Linked DNA regions of Caenorhabditis elegans. The protein of the gene in region 1 purifies or fractionates together with the protein of each later gene. This does not show direct contact. Each region holds a gene or a part of one and is shown in the gene's direction. Other genes may lie near its edges. The genes, in order: cuc-1, R160.10, fkb-1 and acbp-1.

Region 1 (3,051 bases):
TGTCTGCAATTTCAATGTTTGTTGCAATGATTGGTAGATTGACAACTCCTGCAGTCATGAGCATGTTCAGAAAAGACGTAAGCTATTTTAGAGATTTTTGACAAATCTACTTGCTATCCATATTCTTAGGGAACCGCTGCGGAGTGGCAGAATATCTTCATAGGATGCTCACTGGCACATATTTTCTCTGGTTCAATATTCTTGTTATTCGGATCAGGAGAATTACAAGATTGGGCTAAAGTTGAGGATGATCAGGAGATGAATGAGAAAGAGAAGCTGAAGACAATTGAGAATGGTATTGTAGTTGTTGAAGAAGTAGATGTCAAAAATGAAATGAGCGCCACGTTGGTGAAAGAGGATTCGCTGTGTCTTTGATAATTTACATAATTTGCTGATGATTTTTTTTTTCATTTAATAAATATTTTAAAAACTTCTTTAATAAGATAATTATAATTTATTGATTAAGAATGTGCGAAAAAGACAGAAAACTTGTGAACATAAGATCAATTGTTGAGAAGGGTTTGAAGAATTTAGGCACTCGTCTCGTTTTCTCCGTCCACGCCTCCCACGTAGAGAACGTTGTTGCATCTAAAGTTAGAACATTTTTCAAGATTTACTACGATATAAATGTGCATAAGATTGTAATAACTTTAGTTTCTACGGCTTGAATTTTTTCTTTTAAAAAATGCACCAACCGGATAAGAATCTCTCCGAGATTTCCTTGACTGTTTCCGTCAATGTACTCCTCGGCGTGAGCCAGCTGCAGATTCATGTAGGAGTCGACAGCAACAAGGACACCTTAAACATTTGGCGCTTTTGGTGAAATATTTCATTATGTCAATACAAACCTTTGTACTCCATTCCCCACTTCAGTTTGCAAACGACAAACTTTCCGGTGAGACTGTTGAGGAACGGTTTTGGGTTCACTGGTTGAACTGCGGACATTTCTGAAATATTTTTAAATAATATATTTTGAAACGAGGGATATCGAAAATAGTGAAGGACACAAGTAATTTAAGCAATAAAAATACATTCAAAGCGTTTCCGAATCACAATTGTTATGTTTGAACAATTTAAGAAGTTTAAAACCCATCTGACGGTTTTTTCAGTGAGATGGAAAGATGTATCTATTTTCTAATAGTGACAAAGTTGTTTTAATAAACATAAACTCAACAAAACACATTTAAAAAGGTTAAAACGCTGCGAAATCCTCCATAAAAATGAAAAAAGAACCTTGAATTTTCGAAAGTTGCGCTAGCATCAGATAATACGACATACTGCAGACTGCGTATGCGACACCATACTTGACGACATAAAATTAATCATACCCATGCATCATGCATGAAAAAGATGTGGGTTTTGGTTTTTTAGTTAATTTAAACTGAGTATTTGTATTTTCCGCTTTTTCAATGTCCTTGTACTTTTTGAGTTTTAATAAGTTATGCTATCTAAATATAGTTAACTTCTCTTCAGCCTCGAATATCCTGCTAAATGGCTTTCGGACTACTGTAGATGATAAAACAGTTCTTTATATAAGGCTCTATTTCTTCCAATTCACAACATTTAACAGGCTCCATCAAAATGTTATCGTCTTTATTTTTCTCTTTAACTGATCACCCTTAAAATCGATAATTTTCTCACCCCATAAAAACGCTCGTTTCAAAGTAGAAGATGAGTGAGACGCCGAGAAAATAGAGAAGATGCATTAATGCAAAGCTGTGACGTCATTTGGTGTCTTTATCCTGTTTCTAAGCTTCTTTCTCATTTTTCCATAAATTTTTCCAAAAAGTAAAAAAAAAAACTGGAAAACATTTAAAAGTTGCTTAAACCATTCGAGTTGTCCCATCTCAATAGTTCCTTTTTTAATTATCGCAGTTTCTTGAAAACTTGATCAAAAAATGTCGAATGATGCAAATTCTCAGAGATAAAGCATTGACCACGAGTCGCCCTATCACTGTCTCTCCATTTTGCGTCTCTTTGTTCATTTCTTTTCGACTGTACTAATTCCAATCATTCAAATTAACGTTTTTCAGGCAAGCAGAAGCAGAGTTTCCAGATTTCTGACTCAACAAATATCATGACACAGGTAAATTATTTAACTTTTTACAAATTACAATTAAATATTCTCATATTTGTGAAAAAAAAAATAATTTGAACATTTTCAGTACGTTTTCGAAATGGGCATGACATGCAATGGCTGTGCAAATGCTGCGCGAAAAGTTCTAGGAAAGCTTGGAGGTTTGGTTTACTTTTTGTTAATCAAATTAATCCTATTATTCTACAGAAGACAAAATCAAAATTGACGATATTAACGTGGAAACCAAGAAAATCACAGTTACAACTGATTTACCAGCATCTGATGTACTTGAAGCTCTGAAGAAAACAGGAAAAGAGATCAAGCAACTACAATAAATGACCCTTTTGATTGTCTCTTTAATTTCTATCCGAATGGTTGTGAATATCGTTATTTTTTGACATTTCTGTAATTTTTGTATTAATTTATGACTCTTGCTTGTAAAATTGTCCTATTCTAAAAATAAACGCATTTTCTAAACTATAGATTTTCTGATGCAATATTTCATTCGAGTTCTTTTAACCGAAATAGAAGGTTTCAAATGTAAACACCTTTTCATGCATTGAACCTTATCCTTATTAGATTAAAGCGTCGACGCGTACATCCGGTGTAACCGTCCTTCTCAGAAAGGTAAACGTCGCATTTTCATTTCACTATTCCGCGTCTCTTGATTTCTACTTAATGTGTTCTGAAATCCTACTAACGATGTGGTGAGACACGTCGTAACGAATCCGCTGAAATTTACATTGATGATTTGTTCGCGTTGCTCAACCACATTGTTCTCAAGGAAACTTTAACTGTTTATTAATAAAAGAAGAAAACAATGAGTGGAGGCTAACAAAACTATGAGATTCAGAACGATCCAACGGCCACCCGGCTGCTTTCGTAGATAAACTATCCCCAGAGAAGACTCATGGCGGAAAGAGGGAGGATCTGAAATATGAATTCTTAAATCTTTGAATTGAAAGCATAGGTGT
Region 2 (2,971 bases), on another chromosome or scaffold:
GTAGGGAAGTAAGTTTGAAAAAATTTTAAAGAGTATGCCGAGATACATTTTGATTTGCAATCAAAAGGATCCATAAATTAATCTCTTAAAATTTTAAAGAATGGATCGTAAATGACAAAAGTACAGTAAAGTTGGGTTCATTATTTTTAAAACTTAAAATGCCAGTACTAAAAAAAACTTTCAAAACTTTTGTTAATGATTTAAGAATTAGTTTGCAATTTTATTTTAAATTTCTTCGTATTTTTAAGTCGTTTCTCTAAACTTTTATAAAATTTATTAAGGATTTTTTCCTTATTTTTGAACATGTTCATTGTCAGTGAGAAAATAAGTAGAAAGGCAGGAAATTTCGGGGAAACATATATTTTTTTCAAAACTGAGAGCATATATTTTTCAGGTCTGAATGCAATACTATTGTAGACATTTGTCATTGTTAGCACTGCACAGATTAATTATTGATCTCCTTTTTTTGTTAATGAATGTTGATGTTACATATGTCAATTTCTGAACAATTTTTCATATCGATTTTGGTTGAAACCAATAAGTATACCTGTATATTTAATTAATTATCCTTCTTAACTTTTTGTTAGTTTCAATTACTATTTCGCAAACCTGCATGACTTGTTTCAACATGGACATCATCAAATGCATCTATCTCATCTTGCTCCTAATTTGGTCAATATTTTTGTAAGTGACGATGATCTGAAATTATTTTTAAATAGTTATGGAAATTATAGCATCATCCTATTCATAACTCTCATCAGAGAATGGTTCTTCCCACAGCCCCGTTTTTTCGAAAGATTTGAGGATGAAGAGGAGCCAAGTCGTCCACAAGGATTTGTATCTCTTGACGTGGAGCAACTGGAGCAAATGCATGGGCTGGAAGTATATGCTGCCAACAAAGTGATCATAGACACTGTTCCACTTCTTCCTATTTAAAGTAAGAAAAATGTTCGTAAATTTTTTCAAAATTTTATTACAGACGATCAACATGCACCATATGTATTCATAATTTGTAACAACGATAAAATTGAAATACAGTAGTATAGACTATTTCTTTTTAGTAGCTCTCGAATAACTTTTTTGTGGATAAATTTTAGCGTGCCCTTCCGTTTTGGTTAATATTTTGGTATTGTTAGGTTGCCAAACCATAACTATTATTTTGGTTTGATCAGAGGTGTGCGGTAATTGGTAAGTTGAGCAATTGCTGGTTTTTGAATTTGCTGCAGTGAGCAATTTTGGAACTGGCTGAAATTGCCCAAATTTCGGATTACTGGAATTCTTAAACTTTTCTTAAACCATATTTATGATTGTAAAATTTAACCTTGACGTAATTCATGTGTTAATTATTTCGTCAGACATTTTTTTTCTGTGTGAGGAGTAAAAATTCTGGTCTAAAATGCATACATGTACACGCTTTTATAAAACATTTCAATTCTCATTATCGGCGATTGAAAAATATATCGCACACATCTCATTTCAAGATTCAGATACCTCATTTTTATACAACTCAAACTTTACCATGGACGTCCAGAATTTAGTGACCATTGGATTTTTGATAGTTATCGGTTTGACTTCGGCGGTGGTCATGTAATTTCTTATTCCACTTTCAAAAAATAATTCAATTTTATCCAAAATTTTAGAATTTGGTACTTCATTGCCGAGGTGTTTCAAAACATGCATAAACACATTGCTCGAACCACAGTCATCCGAGTTGAAGCTACCATTTAGAGGTTGCTGTCATCTATTTTTTTCAAATTTTTTAATGGGAATTAATTTCAGAAATTGTACTGCTAATCATAGATGTTTCCTGATACACCCTACCGATTGCCCATTACTTTTTTACACCAATAAACGTATTTAAATTATTACCGATTTATCTTCTATTACTATATCCCACAAGGTTGTTAATCCTTGTCTCATATTTATAAGTTTCATTTTTTGTTCAACATTCCGAATTATTTGTCAGATGGAAACAGCTCAAACAATCAAATATCATGTTCCGCCGATGCTCATTTTTTTGGTTGTTGTCCTCTCGTGTCTCAGGTGAGAACAAAGTTTTCAGGAGTCTTTTAAAAAACAAAATGAACATTTTTGAATTTCCAGCATTGGTTTTTTGGTAGACTACATCATGCAAAAGTACGGTTGCTGTGGACGGAGAGGAAGTTGCTGCCGGCCAGAGCTGGAAGGAGATGAGGACGCTGAGAACGCTCAAGGGTCTATACCCCTAGCATCACTTGGAACAACTAACGACCCATTACCAGGAAGACTACCATTGCTGTCACGAGCTCCTATCAACAATTCACGCGTTTAAGTGTCTTATTGTATTATTTTCCCAATTGCTATAACCCGCATAATCATACCACACATTTCAATAAATTGTCATAATTATCATTGAAACCTAGAGAGAACATAAGTTTGTGTTTAATTTTTATATGTATAAAGTTATTACTGAATAAATTGGCAATTTCAAAATGATTCCATTTAGCCCCAATTTGCAATATATACGAAAATTAGATCAATAGGTTTTTGTCATGTGTCCCTTTTTTTCGTACTGTTGTGTAGTATCCAGTTATAGAATTATTTCCAGACATTACAAAAACATTCTCTATATATCAACAAACTCGAATTATTTTGTTTTAAAAGCGTCGCTGCTCAGAGAATTCAATGGCTCCGTATCACACTGAGCAGCGACTCATGCAAATTCAAATTGTAATTGTTTACTGAGTTTGAATCTATGCACTCATAGATTATTGGCTCGGCCAGTACATACTTGCAAGTCTCTCAATCAATTAAGAATAGAGGTTTATGTTTTTGATGTGTTTTTTACACAGTATTTGCTCTTCGCCTCCAATCCCCCTTGCCCTCTTCACCACTTTTTCATGTTCCCTTTCCAACATTTTTTTGTGCGCATATAGCATCTGCCAATTTTCTTCCATCTACTCAATCTGTGCATTGCCCCGTGATGAGCAGC
Region 3 (3,148 bases), on another chromosome or scaffold:
TAGAGAGGAGATTCACAGAAGAAACTAAAACCTACTGAGACCCCAGAATACTGCCGGTATTCTGTCAGGACTCATTAGGTTTAGTGGAGAGTTGGAAATGAAACTAAAACCTAATGAGACCCCAGAATACTGCCGGTATTCTGTCAGGACTCATTAGGTAGAGTGGAGATTCACAGAAGAAACTAAAACCTAATGAGACCCCAGAATACTGCCGGTATTCTGTCAGGACTCATTAGGTAGAGAGGAGACTCACAGAAGAAACTAAAACCTAATGAGACCCCAGAATACTGCCGATATTCTGTCAGGACTCATCAGGTAGAGAGGAGATTCACAGAAGAAACTAAAACCTACTGAGACCCCAGAATACTGCCGGTATTCTGTCAGGACTCATTAGGTAGAGTGGAGAGTTGGAAATGAAACTAAAACCTAATGAGACCCCAGAATACTGCCGGTATTCTGTCAGGACTCATTAGGTAGAGAGGAGATTCACAGAAGAAACTAAAACCTACTGAGACCCCAGAATACTGCCGGTATTCTGTCAGGACTCATTAGTTAGAGTGGAGATTCACAGAAGAAACTAAAACCTAATGAGACCCCAGAATACTGCCGGTATTCTGTCAGGACTCATTAGGTAGAGAGGAGATTCACAGAAGAAACTAAAACCTAATGAGACCCCAGAATACTGCCGGTATTCTGTCAGGACTCATTAGGTAAAGAGGAGACTCACAGAAGAAACTAAAACCTAATGAGACCCCAGAATACTGCCGGTATTCTGCCAGGACTCATTAGGTAGAGAGGAGACTCACAGAAGAAACTAAAACCTAATGAGACCCCAGAATACTGCCGGTATTCTGTCAGGACTCATTAGGTAGAGAGGAGATTCACAGAAGAAACTAAAACCTAATGAGACCCCAGAATACTGCCGGTATTCTGTCAGGACTCATTAGTTAGAGTGGAGATTCACAGATGAAACTAAAACCTAATGAGACCCCAGAATACTGCCGGTATTCTGTCAGGACTCATTAGGTAGAGATGAGACTCACAGAAGAAACTAAAACCTAATGAGACCCCAGAATACTGCCGGTATTCTGTCAGGACTCATTAGGTAGAGAGGAGATTCGCAGAAGAAACTAAAACCTACTGAGACCCCAGAATACTGCCGGTATTCTGTCAGGACTCATTAGGTTTAGTGGAGAGTTGGAAATGAAACTAAAACCTAATGAGACCCCAGAATACTGCCGGTATTCTGTCAGGACTCATTAGGTAGAGTGGAGATTCACAGAAGAAACTAAAACCTAATGAGACCCCAGAATACTGCCGGTATTCTGTCAGGACTCATTAGGTAGAGAGGAGATTCACAGAAGAAACTAAAACCTACTGAGACCCCAGAATACTGCCGGTATTCTGTCAGGACTCATTAGTTAGAGTGGAGATTCACAGAAGAAACTAAAACCTAATGAGACCCCAGAATACTGCCGGTATTCTGTCAGGACTCATTAGGTAGAGAGGAGATTCACAGAAGAAACTAAAATCGTATAGAACCCGCGATGATCACATCTATCCCATGTGCACTAAATTTCCTCGTTTTTACTGGATTTTTGAATGTTTCAGTTGAAAACCAATCTGTTCCGTTTTTGGGAACGGAGTGGATTGATGCCGAGGCTTTGAGGCAGCCTTTGCGAGAGATTTGGCACTCATTTTGTCTGAAATTAATTATTTATAATAGAAAAACTGAATTATTTTGTAAAATTTGTAAAGAAAACGGTAAAAATCTGTTTAAAACTCGGGAAAACTCAAAAACTATGAACTATGAGTTAAAAATCCGACAAAAGTTGCGCCAACAACTTTTGCTGACCCATTACTCGTTTTCTCTGCGTCACAACGCCACGTTTGCTTGACTTTTGTTTGCACACCTTCGATTGCTCTTTTGCACTGATTTCTCTGTCCATTTTTCTATTCATAACGTATTTTTTCAATAATTTTTCGTTGTATTGTGCTTCTAAAAATCAATTGTATTGTTGTAGGATCATGAAAACCGCTGTTATCGTTGGACTTTTGTGCCTATTGGCGATCGCATATGCTGCCGATGAGCAGAAAATCGATAAATTGCAAATTGGAGTCAAGAAGCGTGCCGAGAACTGCGTTCAGAAATCCAGGTAAGCTTACTCTTTTTAATTAAAATAAAAATGTTAAATTTACAGAAAGGGTGATCAATTGCACATGCACTACACCGGAACCCTTCTCGATGGAACTGAATTTGATTCCAGCCGCACTCGCAATGAAGAATTCACTTTCACTCTTGGACAAGGAAATGTTAGTTTTTAAAGAAAAAACCAATATCAATAATTAAAATTGAAATTATAGGTGATCAAGGGATGGGATCAAGGACTTCTTAACATGTGCGTCGGAGAGCGTCGTATTCTCACAATTCCACCACACCTTGGATACGGAGAACGTGGAGCCCCACCAAAGATTCCAGGCAACTCTGTCCTCAAGTTCGACGTTGAGCTCATGAAGATTGACAGAGACGGAGAAGAATTGTAAACGAACTACGGATATTTAGAAAACGTGCCTTTTGTAACTTATTCATGTTCTCAGAGTATAATTTTTTTTTGCAGTTTTTTTTTTTGTCTTTATAAACATGCCCATTCTATATATTTGGACCGTCTGCGGCCATTGATCACAACCGCGTCTCGCTTCTCTTTATCACCTTGTATTGCACTCTGTCAGCGAAAATGATAGGGTGTGCGAGACATTTATCAATTTCCATACACCTTTTTCTCTTCTTACCTAGTAATGCCTTGCTTTCTTAGTTTTTAAGAATGATTATTTTAATCTGAAAATCTGGAATCAACAGTTTCGTAAATATTAGAATTCAAGTATGTGGTTCCTCTGTAAATAAAAAGCACGAATCGAAAAAGGAAATGCATTTTTGAAAATGTCGAACAATAAACAAAAAATTGGAATTCTATTAGTAGAAACCCAATTAAAACTGGCATCCATGAATTATTGCACCAACGATCCGAATGCTTCTTTTCTCTTTTTTTTTGTTCATGCTCCATCCTAACAATAGTTATAAATTGAGGTCGATTCTTGCTCTTCGTTGTCTTCTCTCAACACACGAGTAAATTGAGTATTCCTTGAGAGC
Region 4 (2,935 bases), on another chromosome or scaffold:
CAAGAATTGCTTCACGGATTTTGAGTAATCCAGAGTTGAAGAAATCTTGGTAGGAGTTTCTGAGTTTGTGAAGTCAGAAATTTAAAGATCAGAAACTGAAAAAAATAATTTTGGACCAAAAAAAATGAGATTTGCGAAAAACCGGTTTCTAAGCGACTGATTTTCTAAAATTCCAAAGAGTGTGTGCCTTTAAAGAGTACTGTAGTTGCCGAAAATTTGCTTTTAAAAATATTTAAATAATGGGCAAATTAGCTATTTTTCAAAAAAATGGATCTTTTTTATTTTTGAAATATTGGAAAAACGAAATCTATAAAAATGATTATTTCAGGCTGGAAGATGTGAAACTAATGGCTGACCGTATCAAATCAATGCGTACGGCTCTAAAAGACGGCCTGAAAGCTGAAGGATCTACTCTCAACTGGGATCATATTACCAATCAAATTGGAATGTTTTGTTTCACTGGAATCAATGAGAAACAAGTTCAAAAGCTCATCAAAGAGCACTCAGTGTACTTGACAAATGATGGACGTATTTCTATTTCTGGTATTAATACTGGAAATGTTGCATATTTGGCTAAAGCTCTCCATGACGTCACCAAGTAATGATTTCTCTAAGTTCTCTACGTGTCTAAGTTTCTTTCCGGTTTTATTGAAATTCAGGTTTTGCTTTTTTAAAAAGTCTATAAAATGGTTTTTGGATTTTCTTTTTTCGTCAACATTTTTTCTTTCTTCTTTTGGGTTCACATTCCCATTATCTTATCTTTGATGTTTTTCTTCCTTTGTTTGTTTGTCTTTTTTTTTTTAATTTCAATCTGTTTTTTTATTTTTAGGCTTTAAATCAATTTTATTATTGGTGGGTGAAACTTGGAGTTTTTATAGTTTTGTAGTCAAATTTCTATTTCCAACAAAATTGAGAAAGTCTAAAAATTGTGGCCTTTATCCGTTTTTAATAAGATACGGAGCTCATTCAATGAGAAAATTTCAACTTCCTCCATTTTTCCATTATTTATATCAAAAATTGTTGTTTTTAGGGCTCCCGATCAAGAGTTTCACCAAAAAACTATTAAAACTAAAAAATATTTTTAAAAATCTAATTTTTCTTCCTTCCGACCAAAAATTGAAATTTTTTAAAGAGTTTTTAAGATCGAAAAACCAAAAAAAAATCCTTCTTTGCCCAAAAAAAAAAACGAACTTTTTCCTATTACTCAATTGCAGAATTTTGCGAGTTTCGACGCAACAACACGACACCTGGTCTTGGCACGATCGAAACCTTGCAGCTACAGTACCCACCAGCTTCACTTAATTGCAAAAACTATGCAGTTGTTGAACATGCGAGTACTGTAGCTGTGAAGTTTCAGTCGCTTCGAGACCCGGCACCGTATTTTTAAATTAACAATTGCTGGCGATTAGGTAATAACGCTTTTGCTAAAACCATCGGTGTCTTATCAAAAGTTAATAATTTTTTTCAAGAAAAGAACTGAAAATTGCCAAAATTTCTTTCTTTTTTCTAAACATTTTCATATTTTGTCCTTCTTCTGTGATGGTGTGATCACATAGTTTGATATTGACCACGAAACGTTGTTGTATTCTCAAAAAATTGATACGATTTTTTAGTGATAACAAATGATAAGAGTGTCCGTTTTTCTGACTGTATACTTCTAGTGCGTGGTTGTGTACGTCAAGATAAATACAATATACAAAGTGCCCTTTCATCATTATTTTTCATGTTTCATTATTTTAAAATCTCTTAATTTTCAGGTTCAAACTTTCAACAAGCTCTTCTCATCGTCTTCAAAATGACCCTCTCGGTAAGCTTCAAATTCCGATGTAGAAAATCCAAAATAATCTCAAATTCAGAATAATGACAACAACAGAAAGCAATAATTGTAAAACCGTGATTTTTCAATGTTGGCAAATTCCCTTCAAAATAGCGGAGGGAACTTAGTCAAAATTGAAAAAGAGACATTTTTATAATTTGGCGATTTTTTTCTGAATTTGAGACTACTTTAGATTTTTTGAAGCAAAATGTTGATATTTTCCCAATAAAATCTCACTAAGTCTTTTCAATTTTCAGTTCGACGACGCTGCTGCCACCGTTAAGACCCTCAAGACTTCCCCATCGAATGATGAGCTTCTCAAGCTCTATGCTCTGTTCAAACAAGGAACCGTCGGCGACAACACCACCGATAAGCCAGGAATGTTCGATTTGAAGGGAAAAGCCAAGTGGTCTGCCTGGGATGAGAAGAAGGGACTCGCAAAGGATGATGCTCAGAAGGCCTATGTTGCTCTTGTTGAGGAGCTCATCGCCAAGTACGGAGCCTAAATAAATTCTGTTTGATAATACGTTTTTTTAACATTTATATTTTTGTAATGAAGATTCTGTGATTCCGAAGAATTTAGACATAAAGTTGCCTATTTGATCAGCAAACTTGAACTTTCAGAAGAATGCATTTTCCATGTTCCCTGTTCCGAGTGATCTGCAATTTCTTTTTTTCCGGTCTGCTACTCTAAAACTTTGGTTTATCCGAATAATTTATAAATCAAAACCGCAACTCTTTTAAATTGGTAATAATACAGTAAAAGAGATGTTAAAAAGAGTGAGAAGTCAACAAAATGAGGGTATTCAAGATTAATGAATGGGGGGACAACACAACAATAATGATAACAACAAAAAATGGAGGAAAAAGTAAAAAAAAAAGAATGAGATTTTTGGGTTTGTTCAACAAAAGATGAAATTACTCGGCGGCAGCAGCAGCTGGAGCACCATCCTCAGCGAACACAGTACGCTTAGCCTTTGGCTCATCAGATCCATCTGCACCTTCATCGTTTGCTGACCGCTTATCACCTCGGCGGTCTCCGCGTCCACCTCTTCCACCACGACCTCCACGACCACCGCGGCCTCCTCGTCCGCCACGACCACCGCGTCCTCCACGTCC

Evidence for each region.
Region 2: the proteins of cuc-1 (region 1) and R160.10 fractionate together in Caenorhabditis elegans (co-fractionation; one large-scale study listed by BioGRID). This does not show direct contact.
Region 3: the proteins of cuc-1 (region 1) and fkb-1 fractionate together in Caenorhabditis elegans (co-fractionation; one large-scale study listed by BioGRID). This does not show direct contact.
Region 4: the proteins of cuc-1 (region 1) and acbp-1 fractionate together in Caenorhabditis elegans (co-fractionation; one large-scale study listed by BioGRID). This does not show direct contact.

The regions. Positions count from the first base shown.
Region 1 is NC_003281.10:7,859,966-7,863,016, reverse strand, and holds cuc-1 (Copper transport protein ATOX1), read left to right. Parts: upstream 1-2,031; 5' UTR 2,032-2,077; coding exon 2,078-2,086; intron 2,087-2,165; coding exon 2,166-2,238; intron 2,239-2,284; coding exon 2,285-2,412; 3' UTR 2,413-2,551; downstream 2,552-3,051. Other genes in the region: putative transporter slc-17.3, read left to right, coding at 1-77, 130-375; snr-5 (putative small nuclear ribonucleoprotein F), read right to left, coding at 531-588, 696-798, 849-945; tomm-7 (Mitochondrial import receptor subunit TOM7 homolog), read right to left, coding at 2,969-3,007.
Region 2 is NC_003284.9:4,366,508-4,369,478, reverse strand, and holds R160.10 (uncharacterized protein), read left to right. Parts: upstream 1-1,964; 5' UTR 1,965-1,966; coding exon 1,967-2,043; intron 2,044-2,103; coding exon 2,104-2,311; 3' UTR 2,312-2,453; downstream 2,454-2,971. Other genes in the region: R160.4 (DUF4845 domain-containing protein), read left to right, coding at 629-684, 735-936.
Region 3 is NC_003282.8:11,034,558-11,037,705, forward strand, and holds fkb-1 (peptidylprolyl isomerase), read left to right. Parts: upstream 1-2,024; 5' UTR 2,025-2,028; coding exon 2,029-2,156; intron 2,157-2,201; coding exon 2,202-2,313; intron 2,314-2,364; coding exon 2,365-2,544; 3' UTR 2,545-2,617; downstream 2,618-3,148.
Region 4 is NC_003279.8:4,635,202-4,638,136, reverse strand, and holds acbp-1 (Acyl-CoA-binding protein homolog 1), read left to right. Parts: upstream 1-1,757; 5' UTR 1,758-1,795; coding exon 1,796-1,807; intron 1,808-2,073; coding exon 2,074-2,322; 3' UTR 2,323-2,391; downstream 2,392-2,935. Other genes in the region: got-2.1 (Aspartate aminotransferase), read left to right, coding at 1-49, 329-602; ssb-1 (Lupus La protein), read right to left, coding at 2,735-2,935. UniProt on the Caenorhabditis elegans protein: Binds medium- and long-chain acyl-CoA esters with very high affinity and may function as an intracellular carrier of acyl-CoA esters.